Lonchura striata: one gene and its partner. The protein of the gene in region 1 interacts with the protein of each later gene in a pairwise test. Links are inferred from orthologs where the notes say so. Each region holds a gene or a part of one and is shown on either strand. Other genes may lie near its edges. The genes, in order: TCHP and NDOR1.

Evidence for each region.
Region 2: the proteins of TCHP (region 1) and NDOR1 interact in binary tests that used the Homo sapiens proteins (3 or more experiments, as listed by UniProt). The two-hybrid records come from large-scale screens. The link is inferred for Lonchura striata from reciprocal best matches to the Homo sapiens genes TCHP and NDOR1.

The regions. Positions count from the first base shown.
Region 1 is NC_134620.1:11,050,324-11,057,450, reverse strand, and holds the start of TCHP (trichoplein keratin filament-binding protein), read left to right. Parts: upstream 1-4,112; 5' UTR 4,113-4,196; coding exon 4,197-4,244; intron 4,245-4,455; coding exon 4,456-4,512; intron 4,513-5,071; coding exon 5,072-5,140; intron 5,141-5,340; coding exon 5,341-5,511; intron 5,512-5,731; coding exon 5,732-5,844; intron 5,845-6,147; coding exon 6,148-6,214; intron 6,215-6,463; coding exon 6,464-6,636; intron 6,637-6,857; coding exon 6,858-6,939; intron 6,940-7,120; coding exon 7,121-7,127. Other genes in the region: GLTP (glycolipid transfer protein), read right to left, coding at 1-123, 287-437, 918-1,051, 1,241-1,302, 1,652-1,769. UniProt on the Homo sapiens protein: Tumor suppressor which has the ability to inhibit cell growth and be pro-apoptotic during cell stress. Inhibits cell growth in bladder and prostate cancer cells by a down-regulation of HSPB1 by inhibiting its phosphorylation.
Region 2 is NC_134624.1:5,298,577-5,306,660, forward strand, and holds the start of NDOR1 (NADPH-dependent diflavin oxidoreductase 1), read right to left. Parts: upstream 3,008-8,084; 5' UTR 2,950-3,007; intron 1,343-2,949; coding exon 1,208-1,342; intron 664-1,207; coding exon 586-663; intron 308-585; coding exon 210-307; intron 1-209. Other genes in the region: TMEM203 (transmembrane protein 203), read left to right, coding at 3,388-3,798. UniProt on the Homo sapiens protein: NADPH-dependent reductase which is a central component of the cytosolic iron-sulfur (Fe-S) protein assembly (CIA) machinery.

The DNA of each region.
Region 1 (7,127 bases):
GATTGGAGTGACCCTCGTGACAAACTGGTGGATTTTTTCTATGCTTTCCTCTTCCTTGACTTCTTTACCCTTCTCCAAGGCCTTCAGCAAATCGGATTTGTAGGGAAGAGCATAGACCGAGCCCTGTAAAACAGGGAGAGGGTGTTTGGCTCCCACAAACCCAACAGAGACCATAGGTTGGGTTGCTCCTATGTGCCAACGCTGTGGTATCTCCAGACACTTGTCAGTGCACGGGAACAGCCTTAGGGATGGTGGTTGGATGCTTGGAGAGGGAGGGAATGCTCACCGTGAAGAGCTTCTGCAGCATCCAGCCGTGGTATTTCTTCAGTGCGATCTCATAAGCCTTCAAGGCGTTCACTCGGATGAGGTTGGGATGCTCCTCATCCCTCTCACCATCAGAGATGCTCTGCAGCAACACCAGAATGAATTTCAGACCCCTGGGGAGAAGAGCAGAGATGTTTGGCTCAGGGAAGTGGGTGCTGCTTCCCAGCTTCCAGCCTGGTGTTTCCAAGCATCCCAAAAACCCAGAGTCCCAGCAGTGCATCCCTCTCACAGAGCTGGTGCCTGTCCCTGTGTGCACATCCAGGGAAGAGAGAGAGAAGGGCTGGATGGAGCACCCAGGGCAGGATGGAAGCCCTGGGTGAAGCCAGGGCTGAGCTGGGCAGGGTCAGGTGGATGGATCCTCCAGGCACTGCAGGCTCCTCCTGACCTGTCCAATTTGTGGGCTCATGCTCTGAGGTTCTGCATTCTTGGGGAGCCAGATTTGAGGAAGGAGTTCCCAACAGCCAAACACAGCACCCCACTGCCAGCTGCCCAGCCCACAGGGACCAGCCCAGCACACGCAGCCTCCACTTGGAGCTCTCCAGCTCCCCACATGCCGGGACACAGCCGGAGCAGCTCCCGACGCCGTGAGTCACCTTTTCAACCACATCAGCGCCAGCGTCGCGCCTGTCTTGGGCCAGGCCGAGCCGTGCAGCTCCTTCTCCACCTCCAGGATGTTCTGCAGCGTTTTGAACTTGGCAGGGTTGGAGTCATAAACCGCCCGGATTTTCTGCGGGCAGAAAAGGGGATTGGCACCCGGGAGCAGGGACTTTGAGCAGGAGCTCTGGGAATAAACCTGTGACCGGGTGAGCCACTGCTGAGCCCAAAGTCCTCACGGGAAGAAAAGCCTTTTGAAACACCTCCCACAGGTTTCTCCCCAGGGATTCTCCTCTCTGAGCCCTCCTGAGTCCCTTCCTACCTTGATATTTCCAGTCAGGTCTGCTTTGACCGGCGAATAGACGATAGGAGTCCCCAGGCAATCTGTGGAGACAGGGAGGGAGGACAGTTAGACACTGGTGGCACAGGGGACAACAAACTTCCCTTACCAACAGGTTTCACTTTAACCACAGCTCCGGCAATGAGACTAGTAAGGATCTCTGAGCTTCACACATGGCTGTTGGCCCTTGGGACAGCCCTGCCACTTATTACAGCCCCACCAGTGACCTCCAATCCCCCTGGCTGCTGGACACAGCCCTGGCAGAAGGTCCTGGAACATCCTGCCCGTCCGCAGGCAGGCAGCCCCACGTCCTGCCCTTCCGGGGCTGCCACACAATAGCTGACATTGTGGAGGGCACACTGTGCCACGAGGGCGGCCACGCCGAACACCCACCCGTGTCCCGACACGGCGTGGGATCCATGGGTGGGATGGCAGCTCCTGTCCCGCCGATGCCTCTCTCCTGCACCAGGACGTTTTTCCCAACGGGGCTGCTCGGCAGGTTTGACAGCATCGTGATGCAACCGCGGCCCTGGCAGAGCAGCCAAGCCCGGCGTGAGCCCTGGATCAGGTAGTGGTGGGGGGGGTCACCACACAGAAATGGGAAGATGCACCCCAGAGCGACTGAGCCCACAGCAGGCCTGATGCCAGCCCGCATCTCCCAGCCCCGGCCACCCCGGTCTCACCGAAGAACGGAGGCAGGTGCGCCACGGCCTCCAGGAAAGGCAAAGTCTCGATCTGCTTATCAGCCGGCAGCGGCTTGAACTCGTGTTCCAGCAGCAGCGCCATGACCAGCGTAGCCCCCTTCCTTTCCCCCCCTCACCGCTCCCCGGCTGAGGGGGCTCTGAGGCAGCGGGGGCCGACCCGGCAGCGCGCCCACGCCAGGCTCCGCCCCTCGCCGCTCCGACCAATGGCTGCGCATCGGCCGTACGGCCGATGCGCAGCCATTGGTCGGAGCGGCGAAGGGCGGGACTTTCTGCCCAATAGGAGGCCACGCCCTCATCGCCCCCTCAGACTCGGGGTCTGGCCGTGCGCTGCCCCGGCCGCGTTCCGAGCGCCGGGCGGGCCGGCGTTAATTATTCACGGGAGATAAATATTTGATAGGGAACAGATGGAAAACAAACCTCAACGCGCGCGGGATGTGACGGCACACCTCAGCCCCAGGGGTTGGGTGGGGAAAATGACACCGAGCTGGGGGGGGGGGACGCGGAGAGGTGAAGAAGAGGTGGGAGCGGAGGGAGGCTCAGCCCCGTCCGCTGCGTGCGGAGCGGGCTGGCCGGTGATGGGGCCCCAAATGCGGTGTTTGGACTGGTTATGCTGGAAAAACAGGTCGTGGGGCGATAGCGATCGGTGGCGGGCAGGGCGGGTGCGGGGAGCTGCCGGCTGGTGCCGCCTCCCTCCCCGCTGCCGAATTACCGCGGTGCCCGGAGCCCGTCCTGAGAGATGCCCGGACCCCCTCCCGGGATGCTTGAAGCCCCTCCCGGGGTGCCAGGAGCCAGTTCCGCGGTGCCTGAGATGCCCCGAGCCCATCCCAGGGTGCTCGGAGCCTGTCCTGGGATGTCCAGGGCTCACGGAGCCTCTCCCGTGGTGCCCAGCCCGTTCCGGGATGCCCCGAGCCATCCCGGGATGCCCACAGCCCGTCCGGCGGTGCCCAGCCCGTTCCGGATGCCCCGAGCCATCCCGGGATGCCCGCAGCCCCTCCGGCGGTGCCCGGGCTGTCCCGGGATGCCCTGAGCCATCTCGGGATGCCCGCAGCCCGTCCGGCGGTGCCCAGCCCGTTCCGGGATGCCCCGAGCCATCTCGGGATGCCCGCAGCCCGTCCGGCGGTGCCCGGGCTGTCCCGGGATGCCCCGAGCCATCCCGGGATGCCCGCAGCCCCTCCGGCAGTGCCCGGGCTGTCCCGGGATGCCCTGAGCCATCTCGGGATGCCCGCAGCCCGTCCGGCGGTGCCCGGGCTGTCCCGGGATGCCCTGAGCCATCTCGGGATGCCCGCAGCCCGTCCGGCGGTGCCCGGGCTGTCCCGGGATGCCCTGAGCCATCCCGGGATGCCCGCAGCCCCTCCGGCGGTGCCCAGCCCGTTCCGGATGCCCTGAGCCATCTCGGGATGCCCACAGCCCGTCCGGCGGTGCCCAGCCCGTTCCGGATGCCCTGAGCCATCTCGGGATGCCCGCAGCCCCTCCGGCAGTGCCCGGGCTGTCCCGGGTCACGCAGCGGCCGGTCCGGTTGGGCTCGCTGCGGGTGGCGCCGCGCTGGTGCCGTGCCAAGGCGGGCAGAAACAGGAACCTTTAAGCCCTGAAACGTTTACAGCGCCACAAACCCCGCGGTGCCGCGCGCTCCCAGCCGGCACGGCGGCACCGCGCCCGGCCCGGGCTCCATCCGCGCATCCTGCGAGCGCTCGGGGCGCGGCTCGGAGCGACCCGAACCCCGCCGCCTCTCCATCCCCCGTCCCTCCCGGCTCGCCTCCCTCTCTCCCCGCCTCCCTCCGTCGGTCCCCGCCTCCCTCCGTGTTCGCGGAGCCCGTCTGGCCGTGTCCCTCGGCGGGAGCCGTCGCGGGCGGGCGCGCTGCGATGTCGCTGTGGCGGCGGTGGGGCCGCGGCCCGGAGCGCAGGGCGGCCGAGCGGCGGGAGCTGCAGGAGCGCAGCCGGCAGCAGTGGGAGAGCACCAGCCGCGCCTTCGCCCGCGCCGCCGCCTGCTGCTCCCTGCAGGCGCGGTGGAGCGAGCCCCGCGTCCCCCCGCCCAGGTACGGCCGCGGTCCGGCGGGCCCCGGGGCGGTGCGGGGGTGCCGCTGACCGCCGGTGTGTGCGGCAGCGCGGCGGCGGCGCGGCGGGACGCGGAGGAGGCGGCGGCGCGGCTGGAGCGGCGGCGGGAGCGGCTGCAGCGGCTGCTGGGCGAGGAGCGGGAGGCGCTGGCGGCGGAGCTGCGGGAGCGGCGGCGGGGCGGGATGCGGAGCCGGGAGTTGCGGGACGGCCTCGGAGAGTGCGGGAGGAAGGTGAGGGAGCGGCCCGGCCGTGCTGGTCCCGCATCCCGGGACTCGTCCGGTGAGGGGCCGTTCCGTGCTTCAGCTGTACCAGCGGGACTTGGAGTGTACCAACTCCAACTTGCTGGAGCTGTCACCTCATGGTGCCCTGAACTCAGCCTCGGCGAGGTTTGGGATGCCGAGCACTCCCGTGTCCTGACCTGACCCAGCTCTGTGTTCCCAGTTTGCTGAGCCGCCGCTGCAGGAGCGCTGGAACAAAAACAACGCGCAGCTCCGAGAGGTGATGTTGCTTCCTCTTGAGTCCCTGCTGCCTTGTATTTATTAAACCGGTTTTTAACTTGAAAGTCATCATATCTCTACTGTGGTCACTCATCTTGCATCACAGCAACTGCCCTGAATTCTGATAAACAAAAGGCAAAGAAGTGAAAGGGTTGAAGGGTTGAAATAGTTTTAAGGAGCCCTCTCAAAGCTGTATTTTTAAAAGTCAGAAATCTGTTCAGACTCTGAGCAAATTTTCAGAGCTCACAAGTAAATATCTCAGGCACATAATATATAAATAATATAAAAATATAAACCTTAATATCTCAGCTGTACCTGCCGTGCTGTGGTGCTTCCTCATTCTTTATTCCACCCACGTGCTGCTGCAACATTGCAGTCCTGTATCACTGTCACTGTGACAATGACCTCAGCTCAAGACCTGGTGGGCACCTCAGACACTCAGATGAGCCCACCTCTGCAGAGGCAGATCCTCTTAGGATTTCAGGGCCAGAGAGTCTGGAAGACCTTGGGGGACAGAACCTCTGGCACTGATGACCCTGCTGCATCTGTTGTGTCTCCAGGCAGAGTCTGAGCTGCACAGGAAGCACGTGAGGGAGGCTTGGAGTGATCAGCTAACACAACAAAACCAGGTATGGGGGCAACCCTGGTGTTCTGGTCACTGAGAAGACTCTGAAATGTGTGTGTGGGTGGAGGGGTGACACTTGTGCCATGGGAGCTGATGCCAGGAAGGGCACTAACAGCTTGCAGGAGCCTGTTGGATTTTCTGAGCCAGAAGTTGTTTCTTTGTGTCAGGCTAACCTGAAATGCTGTTTTCTTTTCTTTGGGAAAGGAAGAGGTGACCAAACTTGAAGAGAAGAAACGTTATGAAAGTGAGTACGAAACGGCACGAGGGGAAGCGCTGGAAAGAACAAGACAAGACGAAGAGAAGCCTCAGCTGGAGAAGCAGCAAGCAGAGGCCTTGCTTCAGCAGATAGAAGAACTGAAACTGCAGGAGACAAAGGTAATCTTGACTTTCTCCTCATTGGAGAAAGGAATTTGTTGCTTCACTTGGAAATACAGCAGGGCTGACCTGACCTCTTCTCTCCATGTTTGCACTGCAGGGAGGGCTTTCCCTGCCTGCAGAGGAGCAGAACAGGGTACAAACTCTGGTCAAGCCTGCTCTCTGGGATGTTGTAGCTCTCTGATGTACTCTCTCTTGGTGTTTGCGTTTTCCTTTTTAGGCAACAAAGCTGAAAAAAGAACAAGAGAATTTATTAAAGCAGCAGCGGGAACTGAAGAATTTGGAAGAAGAAAGGAAACAAATGGAAGAGCACCGGAGGAAGAGCGAGTTTGGGTAGGACATCAAGTGGAGCTTGTTTTGGATAGAATTACTGTGCCCACAGCAGTAGTTGGGGCACAAGGAGATATTCTAGGTAGCAGTGGTAAGATGTAAATATCTGGGTTTTGGTGGATTTGCCCACAGCAGCCAGGGAGCAAAGGCACTGGTGCTGTTCCTGCTTTTTGTTTCTGGTAGCAGGTTCCTCATTGTCACAGATGCACCTCTCCGAGTGCAGCTGTACAGTGACATGGTGCTTTAGAGTCAGTGTGATTCTGGTTTGTTTTTTTTTGTTAAATTCTACTTTTTTTCCTCCTTCAGTCGCTTCTTGAAGCATCAGTGTGACATCCAGTTAAGGAGACGAGCACAGCAAGTACAGGAGGAGCTGGTAAGAGATTAATTTATACTTCACAGATGCTGTGTGGTGAAAAAACCTGTTGTGTGTGGTTTGCCTCTGCCTCTTGATTCCTACAGATGAGGAGGCCCCTTCTGGCTTGTGCACAGGGCTGGAGCACAAAGCTCACGGGGAAGCAGCAGATGGAGCATCTTGCTGAGCACAGCCTTGTCACTGTCACCAGTAATGCCTAGAGGAGCCCTGCACATGGAGAGTTGTTAATCTCGTGGTTTTCTCCCCCAGGAGACAGACAGGCAAATCTTATCAGCCCTCCTGGAGAAAGAAGAGGAGGATCAGAGCTGGCAGATCGCGCGGCGGGGACGGGCGGTGGCAGATGTGGCCTGGATGAAGAGGGTCATCGAGGAACAGCTCCAGCTGGAAAAGGAGAGGGAAGCAGAGCTCGAGACTATCTTCAGGTGAGTCTGCCCACCTCTGAACCTCACCTGAGGAGTCCGTGTGTGCTGAATGTTCCAGGTTAGGGGGTCACTGAGAGGCACAAGTGGGATGGGCACATCAACTGGCAGGGAACAAACCTGAGGAGAAACCCAAGTGCTCCTCAAGAATAGGATAGCTTGTCTGTGCCTGTGGAGTATACACGGGGGTTAACCTCAGAGATAATTCTTCCTCTCTCCTTTAGGGAAGAAGCAAAAAAAATCTGGGAGAAGAGGGAAGAAGAATGGGAAAGAGAGAAGGTGGCTAGAGATCGCCTGATGAGTGAGGTGATGACCTCTATTGAGGCTGTGTCCCCCTTGGCTCAATGAAACCATCATTCCACTTGTAACCCACCACCTTTTGGAGAGTTAGAGCATTCCATGGTGGGGTGGAATTTTTTTCCTTGTCTGGTGTGTTTCCTGGGAACTGTTTAACCATCTTCTCCCTCCATCTCCTCCCTTTGCACAGGTCCTTG
Region 2 (8,084 bases), on another chromosome or scaffold:
AGAAAAGGGCAGATGCCTAATTCCTGGGGGTGAGGAGGGACACAGTAGGGCAAGGATTTTTAAGGCTGGTGGGAGTTACATTTTGTCTGGGCTGCTGCTCCAGAATCAGACTCTGTCTCCCCTTACCCCCTTGGCTCTCCAGCCACTCTGCTCTCTAGTGCAGTCAGAGCTGTGAGGAGCAGCTGCCCAGGGGCTGCAGAGCTGCTTACTTGGGGTAGGAGGAGTCCCCGAGGCCCAGCACAGCGTAGTCCAGCTGGCACAGGGAGCTGGCAGGGAGGTTCTTCCGGAACAGGAACCGCCAGAACATCTAGGACAGACACAGCTGGCCAGTCCTGCTGCTGTCAGGCACCCTCCTGCCTGCCTGGCCCTGCATCCCTGCTCACCCACCCACCCGCTGGGGCCTCCTGCATCCTAGCAGAGTGGGGAGCATGGCTTTCAGCAGAAGTGCCCCTGCTCCTGCTCCCTGGGATGTGAGTGATGCTGCTGCAAAGCTGCCCCAGCAAGAACAACCCCTGCTCGAGCTGCTTCAGGAGAGACAGCTCTGCAGCAGGAACATAAAAGCAACAGGACAGAAGCACATCTTACCTTCATGTTGTCAGGTGGGTCTCCCTGGCCGGTGGTTGCACACACAAACACCACCAAGGGCTCGTGGATGAGGTTGGCCTGTGGGTACAAACATGGCACAGTCAGGTCAGCAGCCTCCAAAGTGCTCTGGAGCCAGGCTGGGACAGCTCGGGGTGTTCAGCCTGGGGAAAAGAAGGCTCCAGGGAGAGCTCAGAGCCCTTCCAGGGCCTGAAGGGGCTCCAGGAGAGCTGGAGAGGGACTGGGGACAAGGGGGAATGTCCATAAACTGAAGGGGGTCAGGTTTAAGTCAGAAATTCTTCCCAGTGAGAGTGACCAGGTTCTGGCACAGGTTGCCCAGAGAAACTGTGGGTGCCCCTGGATGCCTGGAAGTGTCCAAGCCCAGGCAGGGGAAGGCTTGGAGCAACCAGCACCAAGCCTATCTGAGTTCAACAGTGTTTGGACAACACTCTCAGGGACAGGGTGGGATTGTTGGGGTGTCCTGGGCAGGCCAGGAGCTGACTCAATGATCCTGATGGGTTCCTTCCAACTCAGCTTGTTCCACGATTCCGTAGTGCTGTGGGAGGTGTTGGTGCCCATGGGGCTGGAGCAGGGCAGTGCCCGGAGCAGTGAGTGTCCCACTCACCACGTCACAGCTGTCCAGGGCCTGCACCCGGCAGCGCAGGTGCCGGCGCTGGGCTTCTCTCCCAACCCTCTCGGCCGTGTCCTGAGCTGTCCCAGTCTGGCTGCCAAAAAGCACCAGGAGTCCCCGTTCTGCCATCTGCAGGAGACAAGAGCAGGAGGTCAGCAGAGGGTGTCAGAATCTGAGGTATTGATGATTCTGAGATTGTAGAAAGTCTCTGTCTGTCAGCCCCACTGCCAAAGCAGAAGCCATAATTGGTCTGTGCTGGTTTCCAGGTTGTTTATTCTGTTTATCTCTCACATGTTCTGCTGCCCTGCCCAGCTCTGTCCTGCAGGGCAGCGTGTGGGGCTCTGCCCTCAGTGGGATGTGACAAACATTCAATACCAGAAACTCCCTGGGCTGGATTTACAATAACGTGCCAATATCTGTCACCTACATTGGACAGTGTGTCCCCAGCCTGAACCAACAGAAAAATGCCAACACCACAGTGAAACATGGAGGGCATGAAGAAGGAGAAAAAGGACAAGACACACCCAATTTCCTCCGTCTTGCCTCCTTTGGACCCCTAATCTAGAATCCTAAAATTTTACTTTTGCACCCGTGCCACACTTAATTATTGCTTATATCAAACACTCAGGGGTTATAATTCATCCTGTAAGATTGAAAACTCTTTTCCATGGACAGAGATCACAGACAGTGTCTCTGGGGGCTGTGTCCAGGGGGTTCCTGACCCCTGCCAGGGTCCCAGGCCTGCCAGGACAGCCAGAGGGAAGCTCTGGATTCCTACAGAGGGCAGGAGAGGAAGGGAGTCAGGGCTGCAGCTGCCCGGGCCCAGCAGCACTGATCCCGGGGCTGACACAGCATGCAGCCAGCACAGGGGTGGCCAAGAGTGGGCCACAGGGGTGGCATTCAGCTGTGGGGCCAAGGCTCCCAGGCTCTCTTCCCACCCCTGTGCAGCACTGAGGGTGTGATCCCATGTCCCAGCCCATACAATAAGCAGGGACGCTACTGTGCTCCTCGTCCCCACTGCCAGGCCAGGGAGGGACTAAAATCCACATCCCGCCCCGCTGAACTGCCCTCGCCAGCACAGGCTGAGCACAGCTCTGGGACTGCCTGTTCCCCAGTCCTGGTGTAACCTTCCCGTGTGCCCTGGGAATCCTCCCTCCCCTGAGGGGGCTGGGGCAGAGCCTGGAGGCTCAGCACAGACAAAGAGAGCACACGGAGCTCTCGGCCAGACTGACAGAGCAAGGGCCCAGCCCGGAGGGAATGCAGCTCTGTCTGAGCTGCAAACGGCTGCCACCACCATGTGCCCACAGAATAGTATTAAATTAAATCTTAATAATAAAAAATAAAATCGCAGAATCACTGACTGGTTTGGGTTAGAAAGGACCTCGAAGCCCAGCTCATTCCACCCCTGCCATGGCAGGGACACCTCCCACTGTCCCAGGCTGCTCCCAGCCCTGTCCAGCCTGGCCTTGGGCACTGCCAGGGATCCAGGGGCAGCCACAGCTGCTCTGGGCACCTGTGCCAGGGCCTCACACCCTCCCAGGGAACAATTCCCAATTCCCAATCTCCCATCCATCCCTGCCCTCTGGCAGTGGGAGCCATTCCCTGTGTCCTGTCCCTCCATCCCCTGTCCCCAGTCCCTCTCCAGCTCTCCTGGAGCCCCCTCAGGCTCCCGGGAACCCTCCCCTGCCGGAGAGCAGCCCCGGCCCGGCCCGGCCCGGCCGCGCTGCGGGACTCACCGCGGACCGGCTCCATGCCGCCTCTGACGTCACCGCCGCGCGACAGCTCCCGCTGACGTCATCGGCGAGGCTGAGGCGCTGGGAGCCCCCGCTCACTGTGTCCCCGCCTGATGACATCATCCGTCCGTCGCCTCTCACCGTGACGCCATCGCCCCGCGCCGGCGGGCCGGGCCGGGCCTGGTGCCGGTGCCGGGCCGGGCCGGGCCGGGCCGGGCCGGGCTGGGTCAGGTCAGTGACTTGTGCCGGTGCCTGTGCCGGTGTGGGGCTGGTGCCGGGCTGGGGACTTGTGCCCGTGCCGCTGTCGGTGCCGGTGTGGGGCCGGTGCCCGACTAGGGACTTGTGCCGGTGCCGGTGCCGTGCCCGTGCCGGTGCCCGTGCCGCTGCCGTGCCTGTCCCCGTGCCGGTGCCGGTGCCGGGCCGGTGCCGTAGCCCCGGACGATGCTGTTCTCCCTGCGCGAGCTCGTGCAGTGGCTCGGTTTCGCCACGTTCGAGCTGTTCCTGCACGGGCTGGCCCTGCTCGCCTTCTCCGTGCTGCTCGTGCTCAAGGTGGACGGCGCGGCCGCCGCGCTCTCCTGGTGGATCGTGTTCGTGCCCTTCTTCGCCGCCGACGGGCTCAGCACCTACTTCACCACCATCGTGTCCGTGCGGCTGTTCCAGGACGGCGAGAAGCGCCTGGCGGTGCTGCGGCTCTTCTGGATCCTCACCATCCTCAGCCTCAAGTTCGTGTTCGAGATGCTGCTGTGCCAGAAGCTGGTGGAGCACACGCGGGAGCTGTGGTACGGGCTCATCATGTCGCCCGTCTTCATCCTGCTCCAGCTGCTCATGATCCGGGCCTGCCGCGTGAACTGAGCCCCGGCCCGGGGGCCGGGCCCGGGGCCGCTGCGGTCGCTGTCGCCGTGCGGAGGGGCAGGTGACGGGCGGGGACAGGGGCAGTGCCCCAGCTCGCCGCTGTGGTGCAGAGCATCACGTTTCTCCAAAAGCTGCACATCCCTGTTTGTGCCCCCTCAGCTCCTTGTCCTGTCCTGCGAGAGCGGCTGGGCATGACAGTTATTTTATTTTAGAATAAAAATGCATTGAAGGATTAGGTTTATTTCTGAGATTCTTTTTGCCTATAAAACAGTTGTACCTCAGACTGCTGCCTGGAGGGCGGGTGGTTGCTGTAGATCCCCTGGTACAGCCCAGACCCCTGCCCTGCCCTGCAGCTGGCTCATGGATTTCCATCTGTCCCCTCACTTCCCCGAGCACTTCATACCTTCAGTGCTCTGCTGGGGGTTTGTGAGGTCAGGTTGAGATCACTGATTTGTGTATTTTTGAACAGGAATATGATTTTTCTTTGTGTTTCACTCCATTTCCTACATTCAGAAATGGGGGTGTGGGGAGGCAGGAGCGTGCAGGGGTCTGGGCTGTACCAGGGGATCTACAGTAACCAGCCCCCAGCCCCCCCAGAGAACAGGAGGAATTCAGTATTCCCTGTGGAAGTGCAGACCAGTGTGTGAAGTGCCAGTGTCACCGGGATGCCAGGGTGGGGTTGTCTCTGCAGGGCCAGGAGCTGCACTGATGATCCCTCTGGGTCCCTCCAGCTCAGGAGGTTCTGTGATTCTTGCACAGCCTGAGGTGGCACCGACCTGCCTCTTCAGCTCCTGTTTCCCATTAGGATGCAATCTCCCAGGGCGTGCTGTCACTTGCTCCAGGTGCTCCCCTTGGGGCCTCTCAGTGGCTCCCCTGAGCCAAGGACACGTCACCTGGGAGGTGGCAGCCACCTGCTCACACCCCCAGTGTGAGCTCATCCCCCTCTTGCCTGGTTGTGCCACCTGCCCCCGGTGACCCCGAGCGCACAGCCAGGGCTGTTCTGTCACAGGAGGGGTGCCAGCAGCAGCCACGGGGTCACTGCTGTGGGGCTGGGGGGGCGTGGGGTGGCAGCTGTGTGGGGTCGGGGTGTGCTGCAGCGCTGGGGAGCTGGAGCCCAGCAGGTGAGGACAGGAGAGGAGCAGGACAGGCAGCAAAGCCTCTGAGTCAGGAGGGAACACGCACCGAGTGGCCTTGGGGACCCACGGTGCCTTTGGCCACTCCCACAGCCCCCAGGCACCAGCTAATTAATAAACTCAGGAAGGGGCTCATCAGCCCCAAAGAAGATCAAACAGATGACCACATCCCTCAGCCTTGCTGCATGGCACACAGCCTGCTGGGGCTGCCTGCACCGTGAGTCCCAAACCAGCTCCAGCCCTGACACCGGGGTGGTGTCAGAGACAGGGGGACATCTCCCCGTGTGCCACGTCGCTGTGCCACCCGCCTCACCTGCCGGTGCCTTTGCCAGTGCTTTGCTGCTGCCTCGGGGACAAACCAGTGGTCAGCGTGTCCCAGCTCTGCTCCTCCGAGGTAAGGCGGCTTCCCTGGGGTGTGTGGGGACACAGGGGTGACACAACACAGAACAGCAGCTCTGGCTGTGCTGCCCTGGTGGGGGTGCTGGGGTGGGGGCATGGTCTCGCAGCCAGGACCACCCTGTGTCCCTTCTCAGGACTCATGCTTGGTGCAGAGGAGTCACCTGCTGTGCCCAGGGCCACCAGGTCCTGGAGCAAACCCTGCTGGGGCATTAGTGCTGGCACACCAGCCTGTGGACACACAGAATTCTTTCTGGGAGCATCCCCCATGGAGAAATCCTGCTGGAGCCTCCCCACTCTGACACAGCTTGGGGGACCCTGACCCCATTCCCTGCCCAGTGTGAGCATCCAGGTGCCTGGCCTGGGCTGGTGACTGCTCAAGCTCCAGCCAGCACTCTCCCCGCCTGCAGAGCGCCCTGGCAAAGGTGAAAATGTCACCTCTGGGTTTATTCTCGTTGCTGTGGCCGGTGGGGTGGGTGCTGCTGCCAGCAGGTCCTTTCCCGAGCCCAGCAGCAGGGGAGTGCCCTGCTGGTCTGCCCATGTGGATGCCCTGGGAGGGAGGTGCAGCTCCCAGGGCTGCTGCTGCAGATGCCACCCCAAGCCCCTCTGCACCCTGGGCTGCTGGGGAAGGAGCCTCTGCACAGCCCAGCCCAGGTGCCAAAGCAGCATTCCTGTGGCACAGGGGCAGTAGCAGCCCCAGCTGCCACCTTCCTCCGTGTGTCCCAGCTCCTGCAGGGACGGGAGCAGCCCCTGGAGAGCCATCTGAACCTGGGGAGGGGTACACTGCAGGAGAGCAGCCAGTGCTGCTGCGTCCATGCCCGGAGCACAGCCTGCCTGCCACAGCCCAGACAGTCTCCCAGCAGCAGAGGACAGGGCTCCAGCATGGCCTGGGCCTCCAGAGGGGCAAAGGGGCTCCCAAAAGCCATCTGGGAATGGGTGGCCCAAGGGACCTCCATCCCTCCCTGCAGCTTGCCATGGGCAGTGCCTGAGGACAGGGAAGCTTCAAATGGCCCAGACTCCTCCAGTCCTGCTGGAATCAGAGTGGAGGGGAGGGCTGGAGCTGGTCTCTGCTGGGACAAATCCCAGCAAGACCCAGAGAACGTCTGGCAGAGGAACATGGGGCAAGAGCAAGTGGAGCAGCACTCCTGGAGGCATGGGACATGCTCAGAGCCACCGCCTGCACCTCCCCACCCTGGGACTGGGGTGACCTTACGGAGCAGAAACTGAGTTCTGGGAAATGAGACTCCCTTTTTTAAGCTTGAGTCAAGGTGCTTTCCTTTCGGAAGGCAGCAGGAAGGTGTTGGCAGTGGAGGTGATGTCATTTCACAAACAGCCGTCAGCCTGGCAGTGGTGTCTGGCCCAGAGCCCCGCCGAGTCCCCACACCAGCCTGGCAACTCCCTGCTGGGTGCCAGAGTCATTGCAAGGGCCACAGGCAAATAAATACATGCCAAAAGCAGATCAAACAGGGGTGTGTGTGTACTCTGGCCACATTTCCCCACAGCAGATTTGTCTATCAGAAGTCAGGATGAGACACTCGATCCCTTTCTCAATTAGGAGCAAATAGCACATTTCACTCTCAGCAGAGCACAGCCCTGAAGCCAAACAGGGCTGGGGTGATGTGCCCAAGGACCTGAGGGGAGCCAGCTGAGAGCAGCTGCCCCTGGGAGCCATGCACCCCATGGCCCTTCCAGGTCACCACATCACCCTGAGACCCCGAATTTAGCAGAGACACCCCTTTGGGCAGGAGTGTCTGAAGAAAATTGAGGGCTGGATGTAGCACAGAGCCAGGGTGTTGCGGGGCCTTGCTGGGGAGGATCAGGGCAATGAGGGCTCCCCTGCACAGCGTTTCCTTCCCAGCATTGCCCCGTCTGACTCAGCTAAGGCAGCTGGAACTGTGTCCTTCCACACAGATCCTTGTGCTCCTGCCAGAGCCCAGCCAGCACAGCATCACCTGGCAGAGCTGCAGAGCTGCCCATGGGGCCAGCATGGGCAAGGGGGAACAGCCCCTCAACAAAACCTCTGGGGCTGTTTCTTTACTACAAAAAGGGACAGGAAAAGTGAAGAGCTGCTTATCCTGTGTTTGAGTTTGGAGCTGGAGGTTTTGGTCAGCTCTGGGTGCACACAGCCAGTGGCAGTGCCACATGTCCCCAAGGGACCAGGGCTGGTTGGTGCCTCTGTCCTAAGTGAGGATGAGACCCCTGTGCTCAGAACAGCCCTGTGCAGTCAGCAGGGGATTTCCAGAGCAGAGACACTCATCCCCCCCTCCCACTGAATCCAGGTGAATCCAAAGGTTGTGTGTTCTGTGGAGGTGGGAATGCAGGAGTGGTGGCACCCTCTGGGCTTCAGGAGCCACCCCAGAGGAGACTGCCATGGGAACGTTGAAGTGCAATGTACTGACATGCCATCATAGCTCAAAATGAAAGAGTTTGTGTTTATTTTGTTCTTTCAGGTAAGAGTCAACTATGTTTTTCCAAAAATAGGGTGAGACTTACAGGAAATGCACGACAGACATTTCCCTAAATGTCAGAGAGGGAAAGTACCATGAGAAAGTTAAAAATTCACTGCAGCACAGCACAAACAAAAGAACTTACGAAACACAAAGGAATAACCAATCCTGCAGTGCTGGAGAGCCATGACCTGGGAAGTGAAGAGCAGGAGGACACTATAAATCAAATGACAAAGCCAAAGAACAACTTTGTGTATTTGCAGTGCTTATTAGCATAGTAAAATCCCTGCCCACAGGCTGTGATCCCCCT